Linked DNA regions of Callithrix jacchus. Each later gene encodes a partner of the first gene's protein in a complex. Links are inferred from orthologs where the notes say so. Each region holds a gene or a part of one and is shown on either strand. Other genes may lie near its edges.

Evidence for each region. The genes of interacting proteins can lie anywhere in the genome.
Region 2: the proteins of PCNA (region 1) and FBH1 are in contact, whole or in part, in a crystal structure (PDB 8F5Q), measured with the Homo sapiens proteins. The link is inferred for Callithrix jacchus from reciprocal best matches to the Homo sapiens genes PCNA and FBH1. Residues at the interface, in NP_002583.1 of Homo sapiens: Met40, Ser43, His44, Val45, Ser46, Leu47, Leu126, Gly127, Ile128, Pro129, Ala208, Asp232, Val233, Pro234, Tyr250, Leu251, Ala252, Pro253, Lys254, Ile255; in NP_835363.1 of Homo sapiens: Ser56, Gln57, Arg58, Cys59, Ile60, Pro61, Phe63, Phe64.
Region 3: the proteins of PCNA (region 1) and POLD3 are in contact, whole or in part, in a crystal structure (PDB 1U76), measured with the Homo sapiens proteins. The link is inferred for Callithrix jacchus from reciprocal best matches to the Homo sapiens genes PCNA and POLD3. Residues at the interface, in NP_002583.1 of Homo sapiens: Met40, His44, Val45, Ser46, Leu47, Glu124, Gln125, Leu126, Gly127, Ile128, Pro129, Thr206, Ala208, Asp232, Val233, Pro234, Tyr250, Ala252, Pro253, Lys254, Ile255, Glu256, Asp257; in NP_006582.1 of Homo sapiens: Ala453, Asn454, Arg455, Gln456, Val457, Ser458, Ile459, Thr460, Phe462, Phe463, Gln464, Arg465.
Region 4: PCNA (region 1) and DONSON share a complex: the UniProt entries of both Homo sapiens proteins name them as parts of the replisome complex. The link is inferred for Callithrix jacchus from reciprocal best matches to the Homo sapiens genes PCNA and DONSON.

What each region holds. Positions count from the first base shown.
Region 1 is NC_133506.1:12,550,347-12,556,278, reverse strand, and holds part of PCNA (proliferating cell nuclear antigen), read left to right. Parts: intron 1-1,799; exon of another isoform or gene 1,800-1,888; 5' UTR 1,889-1,912; coding exon 1,913-2,133; intron 2,134-2,852; coding exon 2,853-2,950; intron 2,951-3,039; coding exon 3,040-3,107; intron 3,108-3,937; coding exon 3,938-4,132; intron 4,133-5,932. UniProt on the Homo sapiens protein: Auxiliary protein of DNA polymerase delta and epsilon, is involved in the control of eukaryotic DNA replication by increasing the polymerase's processibility during elongation of the leading strand.
Region 2 is NC_133508.1:7,876,447-7,882,378, reverse strand, and holds part of FBH1 (F-box DNA helicase 1), read left to right. Parts: intron 1-3,280; coding exon 3,281-3,380; intron 3,381-3,469; coding exon 3,470-3,591; intron 3,592-5,650; coding exon 5,651-5,726; intron 5,727-5,932. UniProt on the Homo sapiens protein: 3'-5' DNA helicase and substrate-recognition component of the SCF(FBH1) E3 ubiquitin ligase complex that plays a key role in response to stalled/damaged replication forks.
Region 3 is NC_133511.1:66,323,840-66,329,771, reverse strand, and holds part of POLD3 (DNA polymerase delta subunit 3), read left to right. Parts: intron 1-1,346; coding exon 1,347-1,459; intron 1,460-3,253; coding exon 3,254-3,332; intron 3,333-5,932. UniProt on the Homo sapiens protein: Accessory component of both the DNA polymerase delta complex and the DNA polymerase zeta complex.
Region 4 is NC_133522.1:39,666,330-39,672,261, forward strand, and holds part of DONSON (protein downstream neighbor of Son), read right to left. Parts: intron 5,657-5,932; coding exon 5,575-5,656; intron 5,463-5,574; coding exon 5,358-5,462; intron 4,905-5,357; coding exon 4,706-4,904; intron 2,957-4,705; coding exon 2,744-2,956; intron 1,863-2,743; coding exon 1,725-1,862; 3' UTR 1,717-1,724; exon of another isoform or gene 1,052-1,716; intron 983-1,051; exon of another isoform or gene 77-982; coding exon of another isoform or gene 1-76. Other genes in the region: protein SON, read left to right, coding at 1-76. UniProt on the Homo sapiens protein: Replisome component that maintains genome stability by protecting stalled or damaged replication forks.

The sequences.
Region 1 (5,932 bases):
GCATCTGCAGTTCCCTGAACAAGATAAATAAAACTAAATCCATACCTAGACACATGGCAGAAAAACTAAGGAGTTCTACTGACCAAGATGTTAAAAGCAACTAAAGAGAAAATGGTGTAAACAGAGCAAGACAGAAACAACAAACCCCGTAACAATTCCTGTAACAATTGAAATTTCTGGCTGGGCGCAATGGCTCACTCCTGTAATCCCAGGACTTTAGGAGATGGAGGTGGGTGGATCTCCTGAGGTCAGGTGTTCGAGACCAGTCTGGCCGACATGGTGAAACCCTGTTCTACTAAAAACACAAAAATTCTGTGGGCGTTGTGGTGGACTCCTGTAATCCCAGCTACTTGGAAGGCTGAGGCAGAATTGCTTGAACCCGGGAGGCGGAGGTTGTAGGGAGCCAAGATCATGCCACTGCTCTCCAGCCTGGGTGACAGAGCTAGACTCCATCTCAAAAAAAAAAAAATTGTAATTTTTACACTGATGAGCAACGATTTAAAAACGAGATTGCTGACATCTAGTTTGGAAAATAAAGAGAAAGCATGTTCATACACAATCTTGGCTAGAATGTAAATTGCAAACTTTTGGAGATTAATTTAGTAATATTTATCAAAAATTTAGCCACGTGCGGTGGCTCACGCCTGTAATCCCAACACTTTGGGAGGCTGAAGCAGGTGGATCACCTGAGGTTGAGAGTTCGAGAACAGCCTGGCCAACATGTTGAAACCCCGTCTCTGCTAAAAAAGTACAAAAATTAGCCGCGCCTGGTGGCAGGTGCCTGTAATCCCAGCTATTTGGGAAGCTAAGGCAGGAGAATCACTGGAACCCGGGAGGCAGAGTTTACAGTTTGCTGAGATGGCACCACTGTACTCCAGCCTGAGTGACAGAGCAGGACTCCATCTCAAAAAAAAAAAAAAAAAAAAACAAAACAAAATTAAATGTATACGCTCTTTGACTCAGCCGTATTACTTCAAGGAGTTGATGACATCAAAATTACCTAAGTACTCAAAGGTGTTTGTAATTAACAACAGGCGCTTCATAAATTAGGTCACACATGTGATGCTATCTTTTAAAGAGGTACTGATATAGAAAAAATGTGGCATAAAATTAAATGTACTTTATTATTCTTTCAAAGTGCTTACGGAATGAACGCATTTTCAAAAAGATGTGTATTCATACTTTTAAAAAAGCTTTAAAAACTTTATACAGTGAACGATTGACTCTAAGAGCCGATGGAGGAATGTTAAGAGGGTGATAGAGAGCTAAGTTTAACGTAACAGCCCACCTGTCTATCAGGGGACACTTAGGAGCGCATCAATTCTGTAATTGAAAAATAAAGAGCATATTTGCAGCAGCTGAACTCTTCAGGCTGCAAGGAGGTTTTTCCTCCCGGTATGCTTGACTTGCATTTCGCTTTCACTTTCGTGGCTGGAAACTTTCTGCCCACGAAGTGGGAGGCTGAGGAGGCACCACAAAGCTGGAGCTTGACGAACCGGGGCCTGGGCCTGATCCCCACAAACGCCCGGACTAGTCCAGCGGCCAGGTTCAGAAATCAGGCAAAGAGGCGGGGAGACCTGCGGAACGCTGCCTCGCCCTGCGCCCGCATCCTCCAATGCATGTTCTAGGAGGGCGGGCCTCGCGGGGAGCAGGGACACGATTGGCCCTAAAGTGTCCCCGCGCAGCCCGTGGGCGTGGAGACGTAGTGACGTCACAACGCGGCGCAGGGTGAGAGCGCGCGCTTGCGGACCCTGCGCTATTAAACGGTTGCAGGCGTAGGGGAGCGGTCGTTTTTCTAGGGTTCAGCCTCTCGTCACGTTCGCCCGCTCTCTCTGCGGCTCCTGAAGCCGAAACCGGCTAGAGTTTGCTTCTTCCCGCCTGCCTGTAGCCGCGTTGGTGCCACTCCGCCACCATGTTCGAGGCGCGCCTGGTCCAGGGCTCCATCCTAAAGAAGGTGTTGGAGGCACTCAAGGACCTCATCAACGAGGCCTGCTGGGACATCAGCTCGAGCGGCGTAAACCTGCAGAGCATGGACTCGTCCCACGTCTCCTTGGTGCAGCTCACGCTGCGGTCTGAGGGCTTCGACACGTACCGCTGCGACCGCAACCTGGCCATGGGCGTGAATCTCACCAGGTGAGCCCGGCAGCGCCTAGAGCCGACTCCGGCCCACCCCTATCTCCGGCGCTTGGCGGGAGCGCTTCCGAGCCGAGCCCTCATTGGCTGGCGTGGGCCATCCGCGCCTTCTCACTGGTTTGCCACGCGGGGTGGGGTGGGGCCCAGCCGAGCGCGCGGTTCCGAAAAGCCCGCGCTGGCTGTTGTAGCGCGAACCTGCTTTTTCGCGCCAAAGTCACAAAGCAAGTGGTGGCGGGAAAATGACTGGTTTTTCTGCAGTGCCAGGAACACTGCTCCGGGGCTCTGGCTCCTTATATCCCGATGGCCTTGAATGGACGCTTTAGTTGTGGCTGACTTTTTTGTTTGAGACGGGGTCGCGGTGTGTTGCCCAGGCTGATCTCCGACTTCTGGGCTCAGGCGATCCACCCGGCTCAGTCGCCGTTGACTTTAAATGGTTTATAATGTGCCCTTGCGAGAATGTGTCAGCCTGTCATCCTACTTGGTGGCAGGAGATTGTTTCTATCCAGAAGGGAAACTGCCGGTGGCGTTTTAGTATAAATACTGCCAGATGCATCCCAAAATGTCTGCATTAATATTCACATCCTCTAGCAGTACGTTTACTCTCCACCAGTTCTGAGATGGCCCGATGGGTGAGAGTGGTAACCCCTTCTAACTGCATTAGAAATACAGACCTTTAGCAGGTGGTGTTGATTTTAAACCATGTGTCTCCTGTCTTCTAGTATGTCCAAAATACTAAAATGCGCTGGCAATGAAGATATCATTACCCTAAGGGCTGAAGATAATGCGGATACCTTGGCGCTAGTATTCGAAGCACCAAGTAAGTCATCTTTTTACTGAGTTGTGAAGCTACAGAAACTCAGAACTCTGTATCAGTATTTCACAGCAGCATTTGCTTTCTTTTGGTAGACCAGGAGAAGGTTTCAGACTATGAAATGAAGTTGATGGATTTGGATGTTGAACAACTTGGAATTCCAGTGAGTATCAATTTCTGATTGTAGAGAGTACTGTACACAGGCATGATAGTTGTGTAATAGAATGTGGGGTTGTCAGTCCGTCCGCCCCCCTCCCCTCACACAGGGTCTTGCTCTGCTGCTCAGACTGGAGTTTAGTGGAGCCTTATAGCTCACTGTAACCTGGGACTCTTGGGCTCTAGCCACGCTCCTGCCTTGGTCCCTAAGTGACCAGGAAGGACTACAGGCTTGTCCCATCGCACCTGGCTAATTTTTTTATTTTTGTGTGTGGGTGGGGACAGTCTTGCCCAGGCTGGTCTGGAACTCCTAGCCTCAAGCAATCCTCCCCACTCAAAATATGTTAATATAATTTAAGCCTACTTCACATAACTTTTCTAGAAATGTATCTACTAGTGCATGTTTCAAAGACAGATTTTTAGTATTTGAATAGTTGTTGTTTACCACAAGCCTAAAACTGGTTGTATTTATTGTTTATTGCCAGTTGTCTATTTGCATTAACTTCCATGAACCTCTTTTAAAAATTTTTTCCTTCTAGAATGCTTGGTTTTTATTAAGTGTATTTTAAAGATATCTTCGAAGAAATTTATCCAAGTTAGGTTTATAAACAGCAAAGGAGAAAAGAAATGTCAGAATGTTGAAAATGCCTAATGTCATATTCTTAGGTTTTTTTAGAAAGTAGTTAGGCTTGCTTGCACCGTCATCATTTCTTTGGTTGGTTAAGAAATTATCTGAGAATCTTGATTCTGCATTGTTTAGATGTTGCCTCTTAAGAAAGAGTGCCTAATCATTAAGTTTCTAACAATTAACTTTTGGAAAAAATTTGTTCTTAATAGGAACAAGAGTACAGCTGTGTAGTAAAGATGCCTTCTGGTGAATTTGCACGTATATGCCGAGATCTCAGCCATATTGGAGATGCTGTTGTAATTTCTTGTGCAAAAGACGGAGTGAAATTTTCTGCAAGTGGAGAACTTGGAAATGGAAACATTAAATTGTCACAGACAAGTAATGTCGATAAAGAGGAGGAAGCTGTAAGTAGTTTTTAAGTAAAAAGAAAATAGTTTGAAGAGAATTGTTTTCTTCTTTTTTTCACATTGCTACAAAGACATACCCAAGTTTGAAGAGAATTTTAATACCACTTAACATTGGGTTAATTGCTAAAATTAAAAGTGGATAGAATTGTACCTTAAGTAATTTGTGAAAATTGGGATACTTTTGAAATCTGCAATTGATTTATAAGTGGCCGTCCAAATTCAGCACATGTACATACCATGGAACAGTGGTTTATGAATCAAGCCCACACAGGCTCTTAAGGATAGGATTGGGAAGCTAGGTGTCTAACCTTTAGGTTTCTGGAGATACTTACTCTGTTATTAAATAATTGAGCATAGGTCAGCAACTCAATAGAAGGATATGGTTAGGAGTAAAAGTCTACCTGTTGTGAGCTCTTATGTAATCCTTATATTAGCTTACATGTTGTGGGTCCAATTGGTAGCCCATTCTAAAGGTAGAGAAGCAGGCTGAGCCAACCTTAAGTGGCAATTTAGCTAAAGTCACAGGCTGTAGGAATCAAAGGTTAAACAGAAGGGAGACTTCTCACTAAAGCTAGAATGCAGACTCCATGCAACTTTGAGAGTGCCTAGAGAACCCTTGGCACAAAATAGAATACATGGTAAAACCCTGTTTCTACTAAATACACAAAAATTAGCTGGGCATGGTGGCACACACCTGTAATCCCAGCTACTCGGGAGGCTGAGACAGGAGGATGACTTGAACCCAGGAGGCAGAGGTTGCAGTGAGCTGAGATTGTGCCACTCCCCTGCATCCTGAGCGACGAAGCAAAACTGTCTCAACTTAATAGCCTGAGCATAAATCAAAACTTTGTAAATCAAGGACAAAGGTCCTAACCTCATAGGATTGTTTGGATTAAATAGCATATGCTGTGTCTGACACATTATAAGCTTATAATAAATACTAGATGTTGCTTTCTTATTCCTTGAATGAATAGTCTACCTTTAGTTTAAATAAAAGAAATTCAGTTGAAAATGTTTTTTTTAAATTAATGAAGTCTAGGAGCTGATTCTTTTGTTTCCTGAATCACATTTCCACTCCTATGCCAATCTCATGGGGTTTTGTTTTGTTTTTTGTTTTTTTTTTCTGTTTTTCTTTGTTTTTGGGACAGGGTCTTGTGCTGTCCACCCAGGCTGGAGTGCAGTGGTGCAGTCTCCAGGGCTTAAGTGATCCTCCTGCCTCAGTTTCCCAGGCAGCTGGGACTACAGATGTGTGCCACCACACCTAGCTTGGTTCCCTCTAATTTCATTTTCTCTCTTCGATTACAATCTATTTTTTAACGAAATTAGATCATTCGTTAGGTTTTCCAGAGTTTGGATTTTGCTGATTGCATCCCTGTATATACATAAATTCCTCTATCCTGTATGTCCTACAAACTGGTTGCTACAGCCCTGGAGCCTTGATGATATTCAGGATGTTTTGTTTTGGGGTTGGAGAGCAAGAATACTTTATAGTTGGTAGTGTGTGATTCTAGTAGGAGGCACAGGGTACCTGGGTGTCTTTGCAATGTTTGTTAGCAGCTATAATAAATTAATGTTTCATTTTTTTCTTTTAATATATAATGAGCTGGGCCAGGTGTGGTGGCTTACGCCTGTAATCCAAGCACTTTGGAGGCCAAGGCGGGCAGATCATCTGAGGTCGGGAGTTCAAGACCAGCCTGACCAACATGGTGAAACCCTGTCTTTAAAAAATATATATATATATATGTATATATATATAGTGAGCTAATAGATTGCAACTTTCTTGCTGTTTTTAATGAT
Region 2 (5,932 bases), on another chromosome or scaffold:
CCAGTGTCTTATGTGCTAGGCCCTGTGCAAGGTGGTATGCCAGGCTCACCAGATCTAGCAACTCCTTGCTTCTAAGCCGTGGTTCTCAAAGTGTGGTTCTCAGGGGTCCGCCAAGTCAGACTGTTTGCATAAGAGGTGTTTGCATAGCTATCGTCTGAGGAAGAGCTGTTGGGCTGAACTGTGAACCAATGTCTCCTGCCGCCTTGTATGTTGTACTGAGAACAGTTGTTAGACCAGTGCTGGTTGTTCAGACTTGCGTATTTGGCAGTTTTTCAAAGACAAGTGAAATAGGCTGCGACTTCAGGGAAAATAACTGACAGTGTTGTCAAAGATGACATCTTTGTTTTCAAGTGAAATTAAAATTTTGGCAAACTCCCATAATGAACGCAATAACTCACAGTGTCCTTGATTATGCATTCCTTCCTTTCCAATCACATGTCTGTGTGAGGCTGAATTTTCTTCCTGGGTGTCAGCCAGGATACTGTATCACAGCAGACCACGCAGATGTGAACACAGGAAGCCGACTGTCTTCTGTGATGCCAGGCATTGAAGAGATTTGCAAAAATGTAACATGGTGCCATTCTTCCTGCTGAATTTTTGTTCTGGGAAATATAGTTACATTTCAAAAAATGTGTTCCATATGTTGTCATATAAGAGGTTTTTAGTTGGGCATGGTGGCTCCTGCCTGTAATCCAAGCACTTTGGGAGACTGAGGTGAGCAGATCACTTGAAGTCAGGAGTTCAAGACCAGCCTGGCCAACATGGCAGAACCCTGTCTTTACTAAAAATACAAAAATTAGCCAGGTGTGGTGGCTCACACCTGTAGTCTCAGCTACTCAGCAGGCTGAGGCAGGAAAATCACTTAAACCTGGGAGGTGGAGATTGTGGTGAGCCTAGATCACGCCACTGTACTCCAGCCTGGGCAACAGAGTGAGACTCTGTCTTAAAAAAAAAAACACAAAACATTTTTAATAGTTTTTAAAAAAAATGAAGTAAAGTTTCTAAAATGGTAAAGAGATAGATGGATAAAGCTCATGTAAATAAAAGCTCTTTGGAGGTTTTTTAAGTGTGATTTTTAAGCGTGACGCATCCTGAGACCAGAAGTTTGAGAACCACTGCTTTTAAGAAACTCATTTCTAATTAGAAGAGAGGTGTGACTTGGATGAAAGTATAAACTGCCATGTTTTGCGATGTTACTGAAAGTCATGTAGTTGCCTCTGATTCTTCCGTTGAGCTCCTGCCTGCTGTGGTGATTAGGGTGGCATCAGTGCAGAGCTGTTTTCTTCTTGTAACAGACAATATTTTTTTTTTTTTGATACGGAGTTTCGCTCTTGTTACCCAGGCTGGAGTGTAATGGCGTGATCTTGGCTCACCGCAACCTCCGCCCCCTGGGTTCAGGCAATTCTCCTGCCTCAGCCTCCTGAGTAGCTGGGATTACAGGCACGCGCCACCATGCCTAGCTAATTTTTGTATTTTTAGTAGAGATGGGGTTTCACCATGTTGACCAGGATGGTCTGGATCTCTTGACCTCTTGATCCACCCGCCTCGGCCTCCCAAAGTGCTGGGATTACAGGCGTGAGCCACCGCGCCCGGCCACAACAGATAATATTTTTTAGAACAGTTTCAGATTTACAGAAGAGAGTTCCCGTACATCCTATACTCAGTTTCCTGTTACTAACATCTTATCATCTTATATTAATGTGGAACACTTGTCACAATAATGAACCAACATTGATACACTATTATAGACTGAAGTCCATGGTTCATTTGCATTTCCTTAGTTCTGAAATAATGTCTTTTGCTACTTTTGGCTCTCTTGGCTGTGACAGTTTCTCAGGCTTTCCCTATTTCTGATGACCTTGACAGTTTTAAGAAGTGCCAGTCAGACATTGGTAAAATCCCCCGTGCTGGAATTTGTCTAAAGTTTTTTCTCATGGTTAGGCTAGAGTTCTGGGTTCTGGGAGGAAGACCACAGAGGTAAAGAGCCATTTTCATCCATGCTGTCACCATGGCTCATGACTTGATGTTGACCTTGATCAGCTTGTTGGCTGATGTAGTGTTTGTCAGGTTTCTCCACTGAAAGTTCCTCTTTTTTTCCATCCTTTCCATACTGGATGCTTTGGAAGGAAGTCCCTATGTGCCTTCCATACTCAAGGAGTAAATGTTGCAGAATCTTCATAAATTATTTGGAATTCTTCTGCAAAGGAGATTTGTTTCTTCTCTCCCATCTCTTTAAATATTCCATCGTTTATCTATCTTAACATGAACTCATGGGTATTTATTTTATAGTTTCACTGATGGTTCACTCACAGTAGTTTTATAGCAACAAAGTAGTGTTTGTTGAAGGTCTAGTTTTCATTTGACTGTTACTGGTATTCACCAAAGCACCTGAACTTGTGTGTGCATGGAACCAGGCCATATGCACTCCGAGTGTGGGGAAGAATGATATCTTACCAGCCTGAGGGGTGAAGAAAGTAAGGTCTTGGGCTGAGTTTTGAAGGTTAAGAAGTGATTTTGATGGATGAAAAAGACTTACAGGCAGACAGAAAAAGCATGAACCGAGGCAGGACAGCACAGGGAATGCATAGGTGGTTGTGCTACTGCCATGGCTGGTTGGTACAGGGCAGTGGTTTTTTTTTTTTATTTTTATTTTTTGAGACAGAGTCTCACTCTGTCACCCAGGCTGGAGTGCAGTGGCACGATCTTGGCTCACTGCAACCTCCAACACCCGGGTTCAAGCAATTCTCCTGCCTCAGCCTCCCAAGTAGCTGGAATTACAGGCACGTGCCACTGTGCCCAGCTAATTTTTTTGTAATTTTTAGTAGAGATGGGGTTTCAGCGTCTTGGCCAGGCTGGTCTTGAAATCTTGACCTCGTGATCCACCTGCATCAGCCTCCCAAAGTGCTGGGATTACAGGCCTGAGCCACCATGCCCAACCAGGGCAGTGGTTTCAAAGTTAGTGTTGAGTGGGATCTCAAAGGCAGGGGGAGAAGCCCTCCTTACCCTGTCTTAATCTTTTGTATGATTTAGACTTCACTAGATTTGATTTGGAGAAAAGGGTAGATTCACTTAAAAGAAAAGTTTACTATTGGTATTGGGAATAATGGAATTGTCAGGTTGTGAAGGACTTTGAAAGTGAGCCTGTGAAGTTCTGTTTCTGGGCCGGGGTGTTGGGAATAACTCATTGGTCTGGCCAGGCTAGGCTGTGGTGGCAGCAGTGGAAATGCACAGACACACTGCAGGACAGACTACTGACTCCCTTTGTCTTGTTGTTTTCCAGAGTTTTCGGTTTGGTGTGGAAATAGCTTATGTGGGAGCTACTATCTTGGATGTTTGCAAGAGAGTCAGGAAAAAGACCTTGGTTGGAGGAAACCATCAGAGTAAGGCCTTTAGTTACTCTTCTCTTTGTGTTACAAAAGTTTCCCTCTTTATTTCCATTTTCCATTGAGTTTGTGCTCTCTCCCTAAAGGTGGCATTAGAGGTGATGTAAAGGGGCAAGTGGCCTTGTTGTCCCGGACCAATGCCAACGTGTTTGATGAGGCCGTACGGGTGACGGAAGGGGAAGTCCCTTCGAGGATACATTTGATTGGGGTAAGAGTACATTTCTGTTGACCACTTCATGCACGGAAAGGCTTAGACGAACATACCCAATGAAAACGTTCACCTTCTTTGGGATTATCATGCAAGAGAGCATTTGGGGTTTTGACTCTTTTCACTGGGCTACACTGTGACTGGTCTCTAACCCTGGCCATTCTGATTATGCCAGTGAAACATTCCTGGAAAGGCAGACCCTAGAAGGGCTGGGGACCTTGCTTTCCACTCTTCAAACAATGAATGCCCTTCTCCCCTTGACAATGCCAGTGAGACCCTGGGCTACTGGAAGCTTTTCTGGTTGTGTGTTGTCATTAGTGTGAGAGCAGCTGAGCTGACAACATGCGGAGTACACACCTCGGCTCTAGTTCTGACTGGTCACTAACCGTGTGTGGCTTGGGGCAAGTCACAACTTCTGTGTGCCTCATTCTCTCCATCTCTGAGATAAAATAATGCCTTGCCTTACCTGTTTCACAGGGAGTCAGGAGGATTTAGTGGCATGTTTGCAGCATTTTCAACCCTGAAGCAAAGTTATATGACCAAAAAATACTCACTCATTCATTTATGGGAAAAGATTTTCAAGAGCCTACTATGCATTAGGCACTCAATAAATACAGCAGTGAATCATAATCAAAAGGTGTTTTAAGTTTGTTATTTATAAAGACTATATGACGATGGTATAGGAATTTTGGAACCTAAAAGAGAGCACATGATCACAGTATTTTGTATAATAATTCTCATTTTTGCCGTTTTTGTCTTTGTCCTTATAGATGTGTATTTGTGTAATTGCATTATAGGGTCTGTAAAAATGGATGCTGGTTTTTACTCAACACATAGGCATACTTTCTTTCATTGCTACTGTAATGACCTTATAATATTTGGTCGAGTAGATATAACATAATTTAGCCATAGTCACTGTTATAAGAGAGTAGTATTTTTGGAATATCATCCACAGTGGCATGATATAAAGTAAGTGGTTCTCTTCACTTCTCTTAAATCCACTTGTTACCTGTACCATGTATCATTACATGTGATCACACATCTCGTTGTGGGTTATAATGTCAACTGTGTTATTTTGCCCGCTGTTTTATGTAAGTGTTTTACGTGTCCCTCCCTAAAAGATGACAAGCCCTTGGAGTGTGGGTCCTGGTTGTGTCTGTCTTCTGTGCAGGCCTGGTGCTGTATGAGTGCTGGAGCCCAGCCAGTGCTCAGCAGATGCTCTTGGTAGATCTGGGCTAAACAGGGCACAGTCAGGCTGTCTCCTCCAGGAGCTGACCAGTTAAAATGTAGAATAATCTGGACCTAGAGACATTCTGTAGTTTTTTTTTTTTTTTTTTTTTTGAGACAGAGTCTCACTCTGTCACCCAGGCTGGAGTGCAATGGCGCAGTCTTGGCTCACTGCAACCTCCGCCTCCCAGTTCAAGAGATTCTCATGCCTCAGCCTTCCAACTAGCTGGGACTATAGGCATTTGCCACCACACCTGGCTAATTTTTGTATTTTTGGTTGAGACAAGGTTTCACCATGTTGGCTAGGCTGGTCTCAAACTCCTGTCCTCAAGTGATCCACCTGCCTCAGCCTTCCAAAGTGCTGGGATTACAGGTGTGAGCCACTGCGGTAGCCTGACGTTCTTTTCTCATAAGAAGCAGTGGTAAGTATGTATGCCCAGCACTTTGTATTGAAGTGCCATTTGGATTCTTTGCAATCATCTCATGTTCCTGGAAGGTACTTAAATTGGCCTTTTATTGATGAGAAAGCAGTGTGCAGCTATAGGTCTTGCCTGTTTTGAAAGCATAGGAAGAGTTTGAGGTAGCAGCCATAGCTGAGAATGTGGTTGCTATGAGTGCCAAGGCCCCATGGCAGCCTTATGCTTACTGCTTAATGAAGTTTCCTGCTTGCCGCCTGTGTTTTGGGTGGAACTCAAGATTCATTTCCAAGAAATCATCTCATTTCAAAATCCCATCCCTGCATTTGCTTTATTTTGTTTTGTTAAATCAACAACAAACAAAACAAAACAAAAAACAACAAAAAACCAAAAATCCCACCAAAAAACTTTTTCAGGGGATTAAATCATTTGGATTGGACAGAATCATTGATATTTGGATCCTTCTTCAGCCAGAGGAAGAACGGAGGAAACGTGAGTACCCGCCTGGCCTTGGTGTGTTAGAAGGAAGCACCCAAGTGACAGGGAAGAGAAAGAAGCAGGCCTGGTCTGAGTCAGGGCCTCGTTTCCCTCCAGAGATGGGCGAGCTAGTGTTGCTCTTTTCCCATGAGGAGTGAGGTACCTCAGGCCTCCTGTTTTCATAGGTGCTGACAGATTTTTCCAGATGCTTCTCACAGGAG
Region 3 (5,932 bases), on another chromosome or scaffold:
TGGGGGCTTGCTTCTGGGGTTTGACTTTTCTCTTGCCTGAGCTCCCATCATGTTCTAGCCTCCCAGAGCTGGGCTAATAGCTGGACTGCTTTCCTTTTATGTTTCTCTCTCTTGTTTCTCAGAGCTTATAAAGTTTTGGGGGCCCATTTTATACTTAAAGTGTATAATTTATTGTTCTTTCTGACTTTTTGTTCTTCTTCACCTCTTTAGGTCATTTGGCCTTGAACTCTTCACTGTCATAATTTTTAACACTGACCTAATCAGTTGGGAGAATTTCAGATCCAAGACTTGTGTTAAGAATTTGAATACAGCCAGGAGATTTAGGGAGCAGGTGAGGCTAAGCTGCTGCCCAGTCCCCTGACCAGCACTTTCTTTGTGATGGTTGAGTAATAGGTCAGTTGAGGATTTTCACTTCCCCTCTCATGGGCCCTTTACTAAGATCACCAATTCTGTGATGGTTGAGAAATGATGGGATCCCTTTGGTGGTGCTCATTCCTTGGGTGATGCCACTTCCACAGCAGTATTTTTTTCCTAAAAGTGTGCTTTCCTATTAACCTCAGTGTAGCAGAACAAGCCTTATCAGTGGAACAGTCACTAGAAATAGTCTCCATGCAAAATATTAAGCAGGTCCTAGTTGTTAGAGCTTTAATTATGATAATCATTTAAAAGATGATTTCCCCCACCTAGAAGTTTATACTCTTAATATCAGCTGGAAATTTTTAGTCTAACAAGCATCTAGGTGTTTAAAAGTAATCCTTAGGTCACAGCGAAAGACTCTGCCATGGAAGATTTGTAATAACCTGAGAATTATCTACACTTAGATCTTGAGAGAAAATGTCTTGTTCTGAATGATAAGGTGGCATAGTATAGTTGGAATAGCAAGGCTGTAGAATTGGATTGACGTAGGCTTAAAAACTCCTGTGTCAGTTATAAGCTGTGTGACCTTGGCAAGTTTAGGTACCTCTCTGAACCTCTATTTACTCTAATGTGCAAGTAAGAAAATCTGTCTCTTAGAGTTATAAGAATAAAGTGAAATACATGGCATATGGAAGATGATGATTGGATATTCATAAACCAACTTCATAACCTGACTTAGCTATGAAAGAAAACATTTAGCTAAGATACTTCTGGCTGTAAAAATTCTTGATTCTCTGATTTTATTTGTATAAAATTATTAAAATATATATTTTAAAAATAACTATATAACTGCAAATTTATTTGTTATCAGGAATTACCGCTTGCGAAATGCCCTTTGCTGGACATGTAAATTTAGAGAACCAGTGGAGAAAGCATTATACTAGAGAGCACTTGTAGTTTTCTGATCTAAGTCTGTTTCATTATTTCAGTCTTCCCTGACTCTCCTGGGGTTTATGAAGCTGAGTCACCATCCCCACCTCCTCCTATGTCTCCACCTCTTGAACCAGTGTCAAAGACTGAGCCTGAACCTCCTTCTGTTAAGGTAAAATTGTACTGGGATGCTTGCATATCCATGTGTCCTTTATGTCTGAAGGACCTGCAACCACTGTGCTAAATCAGTTCCCTTGCTGTATACTTCACAAATGCCAGTAGATGGCTCTTGTCTCATTCTGCTCTCCTACAGGTTGTACATAATGACATTCCCTCCATTCTCACCTGAAGGGAGATTTCGCCATAGGGTATAGTCTCAGGAACGCTGCAGAAGTGGAACCTGGGAGCTGTTCTGTTTTCATGACCTTTAGCATCTCTGCTGTGCTGTACACCTCCTGTTAGAATGGTGCAAAAAGAGATCCCCTCTCCATCAGAGCAATACATAAAAGACAGAGGGGAACAAACAACTTACAAATGTTTGTTGCTTTTCAGAAGCAATTCTGGAAAAGGGCTCATGAGAAAACTGGCAATCAATGGGGAAATACAGCTTTGAACGCTCTTCAGCTGCATCTTATCTACATCCATTAGTGTAGATAATGAAGAGTTGAAAAAAATAAGTGCTGACATTTTTTTTTTCCTTTGTGGCTGTTAGTTTTTCTTAGTTCATTGTGTTAAGACTGTCATTTAAATCTTACACTGATTTACTCATTAGCTGAAGAGAAAATGGGATGAAAGAGACCAGTGGAGATAAAAGGAAGTTGGTATTAGTAATACCTTTTGAGACCAAATTAGATAGGTGTAATGTTGAAGCGTCAAGGCTGGCCAAGCGTGTTGGCTTACACCTATAATCCCAGCACTTTGGAAGGCTGAGGTAGGAGGAATGCTTGACTCCAGGAGTTTGAGACTGGCCTGGACAACACAGGGAGACCTTGTCTCTACTTTAAAAATATCTGGGTATGTGGTGGCTCACCCCTGTAATCCCAGCACTTTGGAATGTCGAGGCAGGTGGACCACTTGAGGTCAGGAGTTCAAGACCAGCCTGGCCAATATGGTGAAACCCCATCTCTATTAAAAATACAAAAATTAGCCAGGCATGGTAGCTGGCATCTATAATCCAAGCTACTGGGGAGGCTGAGTCAGGAAAATTACTTAAACCCAGGTGGCAGAAGTTGCAGTGAGCTGAGATCGTGCCATTACACTCTAGCCTGGGCGACAGAGCGAGACTCTCTCTCAAAAAAACAAAAAAATCTGGGCAGGGTGGGGCGCATGCCTTTAATTTCAGCTACTTGGGAGGCTGAGGCAGGATGATCATTTGAGCCCATGAGTTGGACTGCTGCAGTGAGTTATGATTGTACTTCTGCACTCCAGCCTGGGCAACAGAGCAAGATCCTGTCTCTAAAAAACGAAAAAGAAAAAAGAAATGTGAAGACTGATATAGCAGGTGTCTACAGCAAGGGCATATACCACAGAAACTCCTTGTCTGGTTTAGGGGCCATCCCTGTGTACTCCCATAATATCTGCCTCAGCCCTCCATTGAAGCCCTTACCACATCGTATTGCAATGTCTGCTTTCCTTCTCTCTCTCTTCCACTAAGGTCCTTATCCTATCCTACTGTTTAACCATTTTGCCTTCTCTACCCAACAAAAGTTTGTTGACTGAATGAACGGAACATAGTTCTTTCTTCAGCATGTTACTTTCCTTCTTATGATTAATGAAATATCAAGCCTATGTATACATAACTTGTCTGTGTAATGGGGTTGGTTCTCTAAAACTAATGTAGTGTTTCTTGTTCAACTTTTTATCATAATAGAATATTGGAGGGTGATTAGTATAGATTTAAAAGCTTTTGTTATTTTTCTGTATAACATAATTGGTCAGCTTAACATTGTATCCTCTGATCTTTTAGAGCTCAAGTGGAGAAAACAAAAGAAAACGAAAACGTGTACTAAAATCTAAAACTTACGTGGATGAGGAAGCCTGCATAGGTAAGACAAATATTTGGCTCCAAATCCAGAGATAGAATCTCTTATTACCATAGAGGCACCATAATCCCTTATAGAACAGGTACATCTCAAACTTTAGTGTACAAGAATCATCCCCAAGTGGTACTAATGTTATTTGTCTGGCACACACTTTGAGTAGCATAGTATAAGTCGGAACACCTTGGTTCTTGTTTAGGTCATACACTATGAAAATAAGCGGTGAGATCTTGGCTAAAAGTTATGTTGTCTCTGCTGAGGAGTTTCTTATCTGTGGAATATCTATTTTGCCTATATGTGGGGTTGTTATGAAGAGTCAGGTGGCATAAATATATCTAAAAACACTTTCAAAATGGAAACCACAGTACAGACTCAAGATGTCATAGAGGTTGAGAAGCTTTTTAAATTTTTTTTAAGAATGTTTTTATAAATTTGAACAGTGGAAAAGAAGCTACAGATGATTAGAGTGTATCAAGAATCATCTTTGGTATTTGGTTCCATTTTTTCTTCAGAAGGGTATGACTCATCCAGACTGCTTCCTTTATGTTTCCTATTTGTAAGCCATGTTAGGTAAAAGCATGTGCTTGTTATGAAGGCTTAGGGAGGAATTAGAGTTCAGACTTTGAGTCATTGGCTGATTCTTCAGCCATGTTTTAGCTTCTTCTACCCTTTCCATAATCAAACCAGACTTCTGTGGAGCTTTTAAGATTTAGCACTTGAGGTTCCATGGGATGCTCAGATCCTGGTATTGTGCTTTTGTATTTGAAAAGAGTTGTGGGTTTAGGCTCTTACCTTTGTTATTGGATAGTCCATGGTTGTCATTTTGCCTTTTGTGGCACTTGCCACAGGTTGGATCTTCAGAGAAGGTTATTTTCCCCCTTCTCAATTTTTTTTCCTAGTTCAGATTTCTGTTTTTAAAAGATTGGCTCTGAAGAATCAACTTTTCCTGGTTCTTAAAACTAGTGCAGACGTTCTGTCGGCTGTTTTCCCTGTCCCACTATTCCCCACGTCTCTGTCCTCTGAAAAGGCCTCTGCCATTTTAATTGTAGCATGTGATTAGGGAGTAGAATTCTTTACATGTGGGAATTCTGTCTTTTCAATGCCAGATTTCTTGTGAACCTGTGAATTCTGGACTTTGAATGGGTTTTTTTTTTCTTTTCCTTTCTTTTTTCTTTTTTCTTTTTTTTTTTTTTGGCTTTCAGTCTTTTAATAGTTGCCATTTTTCAAAAATGGCAAGCCTCTTGGTTTGGCCATGGGTGGTAATATATGTATTTACTGTTGAATTTCTTAATTCAACAGTACATTTTTTTAATTTAAGAGGACAAAAGCATTGGTGCCAGTTTTTTTTCACTTCTTTCTGCCCTAAAAGAAAAAAAGTCAGATGTCTTTGTGAGAGTTCATTGGGAATTTGTGGGTAATTGTTTACTGCTTTGTTTAGAACATAGTACTCGAGTTTTGGCCAGGTGTGGGATGTGGACTTTTTTGCACTCCTGTCTCCAGACAGGGCTGTTAAGAGCCTTGGATGCAGCAGTGAAAACTGTGCTCACATTGCACTTTTTTTTTTTTTAAGGTTTTTAGTCCAAGCTCAACCTAATGAGTCTTGGCTTTGGTTACCAACAAAGGAGTTCTGCTTTCCTCTCTACTCACACTGTTCTAAATGTACCAGCATAGGAGGCTCGCCCTGTCCTGTGCTGGATCAGATTTGTTCTGTGGGTTTAGAAAGCTCATCTTTCCCTCTGTGAGTTTGCAGCAGAGAGTGGGGAGTTGAGGCCCTGAGATAAGTTTGGAGTAGACTCCTGGACAAAACGGTGGGTTTCTAAGAGCAAAGCAGTTGAATAGAAAAGATATCTGATGTTACCCGTGAAAACCAGGTGTTTGGATTTTTTTTTTCATGGCAACCCAGAAAGTGACATGTTGTTCAGCTAAAATAAAGGACCTATATTTTTAATGGAAACCTCCTTTGTCCTGGGGTTTGAGGTAGCTATAGCTTTGAATATAGAAAAATGTTTCGTTTAGCTATTATAGTATACTGAATATGCTGCTAAAGAAATTTTGTTGGTGCCGCCCTGTTTTTTTTTAACTCCCCCAAGCAGTGTATTACACAAAATTGGCAATGAGACAGCCAGTGGGTTCATTAATAAGTAATGAAATAATGAGCTAATTGATGCTAAAGTGTAATGTTGTAGACATGCTGCTATTTGAATACAGAATATAGCTTATGAAGGAGCAAAGTCTTATATCACCAACTAGTAGAAAGTCATTTCCTTTATCTGTAGATGGCTCTTCAGGCTTTTCTAATTGAAGATAATTTATTGAAGATATTCAATAAATAACAGCTTGTAATTTTGTCCCATTAATTCAGTTACATGCTTTTGAAGATGCATGTGCGGTGGATGTGGTGTTTTGAGATCTAATTGTTGAATGAATAGGTATGCCATGGGAATTCTCTAAGTATCTTAGAACAACATTTTTCAAACTTTGCCGACTATGAGCATTACTTGAAGATCTTGCTAAAATTGAAATTCTGCATCAGTAGGCCAGGAGTGGGAACTGAGAGAGTATTCCTAATAAGCTCATGGGAGATTCTGATGCCTCTGGTGTGTGGA
Region 4 (5,932 bases), on another chromosome or scaffold:
TCTTCAAGCAATGGGCCTTGTACCAAAGGACCTCATGGCTAATGCCACTTGCTTCAGGAGTGCCTCACGTAGATAGATTGAGGTTTTATAATAATCATTTCAGATAATTTTACTCTGCATCACAATGTATTTCCTCTTTAATGTTGTAAATATTTGGCAATTTAAGACATTGTGTAAAAAGCAATCTGTAAAAACATCTCCAGGCTTTGATTTTTGTACCATGGAAATTGTATTTAACCATACAGGGTTTTGGTATGTTTATATTGTTTACCTTAGTGATGTATCTGTTTAAGTGGCTAACATCCAAACGATTGTTTGAAGGCATCAGTAATCTTCAGTGTGGAATGTTAAATAACGCTTTTATACTGTATTTTGTACTATGATGTAACTCCCCTTCCTTATGGCTAGGCTGCTGTAACACTTGCCTGTAATCAGTGAAGGGCTGTGCACCTTGTACTATTTCACAATGGGTTCTGCTGGACAGATATTGGGCCAGTGTTATTGAGGTAATCAAGCAAGATCTGTTCCACAGGGCTAAAGCCACCATCTCCCCTCAAAATTTTGTAGAGGTTATAAAAAGAAAGTGGTATGTTGTGTGATCAGCACTAAGTCCTGCATTCCTGTTAAAGCCACTTGGGTCATAAGAAGGGAGTCAAAAATGAAGTCTGACTAGAATTCTATTGCAGAGGCCAAGTACATTTAGTATGGCATTGAGTTGTGATATAGTTTTACTTTGATGTGCATTTTGAATTTCAGCTACACCTAGATAGACGTAAAATGATAATTAAAATGCTGTAACCAACTTATCTAATAAAATTGGCAACCAGCCACTATTTTGTTGACTCTGAGAAAGTTAAAGTTTATGTTAATTTTTAGGGTCCGATAGAATATTTCATGTGTATTACGGTGGTATTCATATGCTATGTCTCTAAACTTTATTTTCAAAAGCTTAAGGCCCAAATACAAACTTCTCTGGAATAAATGTGGTGTTTTATTTTCTGGATTATAAAGTGAACAAATACTTAGATACTATTATTTCTTTACCCAATGCTTTTGATTTCTAAGCACTTTTATTTAAAAAAATGTGAATTATACAATCCCGCCTACACACGCACATGCACATGCACACGCGCACACACACATTAAATACTACTTTGCCATGACAGCTCAGCATACTTCACAATTCTTAACACTATTCTATGTGGAATACAAAATGCCTTTTTATCTGAATTAACATGAATTAAAAAAATTTTAGTATATGTGAAAATAAAGAAATTATAGATCAGTAGGAAAAATGTTAAGGTAGATGCATCAGCAAGTCAGCTAGGTTAGTAGAGATTTATAAAACAAGAACCTACTAACAGTCTTAGGTAAATGGTAAAGTAACATTTTTGCCCTGATGACTTTGTCACAAGGCCAAGAGATAATTGTGTTTAGTCTCAATTTCCTGTTTGCAAGGAAACATTAATTCAGTTTTCTACTCACTATACAATTAGGTTGTAGGGATATAGATACCTCATTTGAGTGATCTGAGCTTTTCATCTTTATATCTAAAAACTAACCTGAAAATAGTAAAAGCAGAAAACACTGATTTAAAAAATGCTACTGTAATAAAAATATAAATGTTTCAGTATTTTAAAGTATATTCCTTTAACTTCAGGAACCTTGAATTTCCTTGCTAGAAGGCTTTTCCTCAAAGATTCCTTTGAGGCTTACTTTGGTGTTCAGGATCTCCAGTTATAAATGTAGTCTCTCATCACCACATTCCGTAAAGACGATTTCCCAAGTAACGGTATTTCACTAAGTTGCTCCAGAGTCTTAGGGTGCAAACCACAGTTAGTAAGCTCCTTATGAACAACCTCCTGTGGAAATTTGTGTAAAAGTCAGTAAAAGGCATATTAGTCTTGAAACACACGAGTTTTAATTACTATGGAGACTGATTAATGTGATTCATCCTATCAACAGAAGACCTAAGAATTTTTGTAGTGACAAAATCCCAAAATATTAATGGTTATTTTTATAAGTCTAGCCAACTGAGATGCATGAGACAATTTTAAAGGTCTTAACTCTAAAAATCCTTATATTCAAAATCAAAGGCAAATATGGTTTAATACCTATAGTGAATCATGTTTCCTTAAAACTATCAAGGAATTGGGTACTACTGAGTTTTGGATCCAAGAGGACAATGAAAATAAAATTTCCCCTTTTGGGAATGGGAAGTTCCTTAGTCACTGTTAAAATTGTACTTGTACTGATGCCAGGCGCCTTGGCTCAAACCTATAATGCCAACACTTTGGGAGGCCAAGGTGGCAGATCACCGGAAGTCAGAAGACCAGCCTGGCCAACATGGTGAAACCTCCCCCACAACCCGTCTCTACTAAAAATACAAAATATAGCTGGATATGGTGGTACCTGCCTGTAATCCCAGCTACATGGGAGGCTGAGGCAGAATTGCTCGAACCCAGGTGGATGAGGTTGCAGTGAGCCAAGATCAGGCTGCTGCACTCCAGCCTGGGCAACAGAGCAAGACTGTCTCAAAAAAGAAAAAATTTGTACTTGGACTCAATTCATGAAAGTTAATTCAACAACTTATGGACATTATTCCTTCCTCTAGTAATTCATAATTTATCTAATTAAGTTTAATTACTTGAAACACAAAAGTGACTCAGCATAAATGACTTCCTTCCCTCCAGCTAGTCTTAGGAAACTACAACTAAAAGTCTGCTCATAGATGTCTACTTACCGTATTAAGTACTTTGTCCACTGGCAGGCAGATGTTAAATACAGCAGTTGGTTCATGTGGATATAGTAGTGCAGAGAAAGACCCGCTCTGTGAAGATTTGAGCAGCATGGTCAGTGAGTGCAGGCAATGAGGCATGATAGGACCTGTAATCTCCAAACTAAATTGGTCTCTGTATCCAGAAAGAGCTTGTGTCTTCACATTTACACTTCGTGCCTTCATGAAAATTTAAAGAAAAGGAAAATGATGATCATCTTTCAACTTTTTTCTAGCTAAAACTGTGGTTACTATGTTTCCATTTGGGGTTTCCTCTCTTTAACCGTTATAGAACAAAAGTATTTTCCAAGACATCAAAACAATGTTACGTGAGTAAAAATACTTGGCAAATTTTCAGCATCCTCTCCATATTATGAGATTTTTTCAGTTGAAATATATTCCAGAGAATACCATTTTTTCATATAGTATTTTATCTGATTTAGTAATAGGCTGTCAATGCAGACTACTGGAAAAACAAAAATTTAAAATTCATTCAATTCTATTGCTGACATTTAGCACATACTTTGTATTTACATGTATAATTTGACTTTTACTTATGTATGCCCCAGTTTTTGACATCTGCTATTATTTAATATAACATTCTTGGCCATGTCCTTTCACTAGTGAAATGAAAATGGAATCAAGCAACTATTTCTTAAGTGGCAAAAAAGGAAATTAACACCAAAATGCTTTTGTTCCCAATTACTTTTTTGCCAACTGTTACTTTATTCAGTCAGAAAATTTTTGGCCAGGCATGGTGGCTCATGCCTGTAATCCCAGCACTTTGGGAGGCCAAAGCAGGAGGATCGCTTGAGCCCAGGAGTCCTAGACCAGCCTGAGTAACAGACCCCAAGTCTACAAAAACTTCAAAGTTAGGACAGGCGTGGTGGCTCAAGCCTGTAATCCCAGTACTTTGGGAGGCCAAGGTGGGTGGATCACTTGAGGTCAAAAGTTCAATACCAACCTGGCCAACGTGGTGAAACCTCATCTCTACTAAAAATACAAAAAAACAATTAACCAGGCATGGTGGCGTGTGCCTGTAATCCCAGCTACTCAGGAGGGTGAGGCAGGAGAATCACTTGAACCCAGGAGGCGGAGGCTGCAGTGTGCTGAAATCACGCCGCTGCACACCAGTCTGGGTGACAGCGTGAAAAAAAAAAATTAGCAGGGCATAGTGGTAAGCACCTGTGGTCCCAGCTACTTGAGAGGCTGAGGTAGGAATGTCTCTTGAACCCAGATGGTTGAGGTTGCAGTGAGTTGTGCCACTGCACTTCAGCAAGACCTTGTCTCCCCAACCAAAAAAAAAAATTCATATAATTTAAAAAGAGTCCAGGTGCAGTGGCTCACAGCTGTAATCCCAGTACTTCTGGTGAAACCCCATTTCTACTAAAAATACAAAAATTAGTTGGGTGTGGTGGCACTTGCCTGTAATCCCAGTTATTCGGGAGGTTGAGGCAGGAAATCCCTTGAATGTGGGAGTCAGAGGTTGCAGTGAGTATTGCACCACTGCACTCCAGCCTGCTGACAGAGCGAGATTCCCTCTCCAAAAACAAGAAAAAACAAAACAAAAAGCTGGGTGTGGTGTGTGCCTGTAATCCCAGCTACTCAGGAGGCTGAGGCATGGCACAAGAATCATTTGAACAGGGGAAGAAGAGGTTGCAATGAGCTGAGATTACCCCACCGCATTCTATCTAGCTGGAATAGCACAGCAAGACTCCATTAAAAAAAGAAAATTTCATATAATTTACATATTTTCACATAATTTCTTTGATGTAACTGTCTTATGTCAGTTTTTTTGTTTTCTTAATGGGAGGAAAGCAAAAGCAAAATATGTACCAAGTAAAAATGCTAGAAGTTTTTTTTAATCAAGAATTTATCCTATCAAAGTAAAGTACTTCTTAAAAGCTAGGTTATGGAGATTTTTATTACCTTAAGCATTTGCATTGTGGCACCTCGGAAAGCAACAGGGGATAAGAGGGTTGGAGGAAGGCCTGCCTGTGGACCTGAGGTAGCAACTAAACTCTTAGAGTTGATCAAAAAATTGAGCAATGTAAAGGTGTTGATTCCTTTCATGAACACAACAGACTCAGGTCTGTGATCCATTTGTACTTCATGTTTCTCTTTACGACTGAAGATAACAGTCAAGGAAATTGCAAAAGCAAATCCCACGTACTGTGGAAAGCAATTATCTCGATTCTGAATCACCTGAGACCCCTTTTCTCCATAATGAAATGGAAATGCTCTTGCTACCTCTCTTTACTCAATGATTAAGGCATATATTTCATCAAAATGTTAATTTAAATTTGCTACAAACTGACACCTAAACATAATTTCTTCTCTAGTCAAAACACACCTATTCTCCCACAATCAATCACAATTGAATGTTTTGATTAAAAAATGTTTCATAGTTCACCATTTATTGATACTCAGGGGCTTGTTATTAAATATTACAATGAAAATTAGTTTTAATATAATCTGAAGATAATTTAAGATTATAGTTATATAAAACTGCCAATGTTAAACTTCTCACTAACGTCATTAAATGAAAATTAATTCTAGTTAACAGCAACTGAAAGGATACAGCTTGATAGAAAGTATGTCTGGCTTTTTAATTTCATCTTGCACTCCCATCTCTTCCAGCCAGGAAAAACTTTCCTCTTCGTCCTCATCACTGATGGTTTGCTCCCTAGGAAATTGCTGTAGTTAGAGTCTCTATTTCACAAAGCTGCTCCTGTACAAATCTATTTCATGGGTCTGTAAGTCACTGGATGACATAAAAATTTATTTTAATCACATACTCCCCATATCCCAGGCTTGTTCCAGATGCTGTCTCCTTTTTATGGCCACTTTCTTTTATTAAAGGCAGAGAAAATTCAATACCTACATGAGGAAAGAAAAATGTAACTGAGTTTTCATTAAAAGTATTTAACAGGCATGCTGTACTTTTCAGGTGTACAAAATACGAAATGTGAGTTTTTACAAATGATCTATTAAGGCAGTATTTTCAAGCTTTCTTGACACAGTACATATACACATAAAAACATATCTCCTTGAAAGAGGTTCAGCAAACAACACATACATGTGACACTCTTTCATAAATTATATTGTATTCTAGTTCACTTTTTGAAAACGTACTGATTGGGTCCACTAAATAGA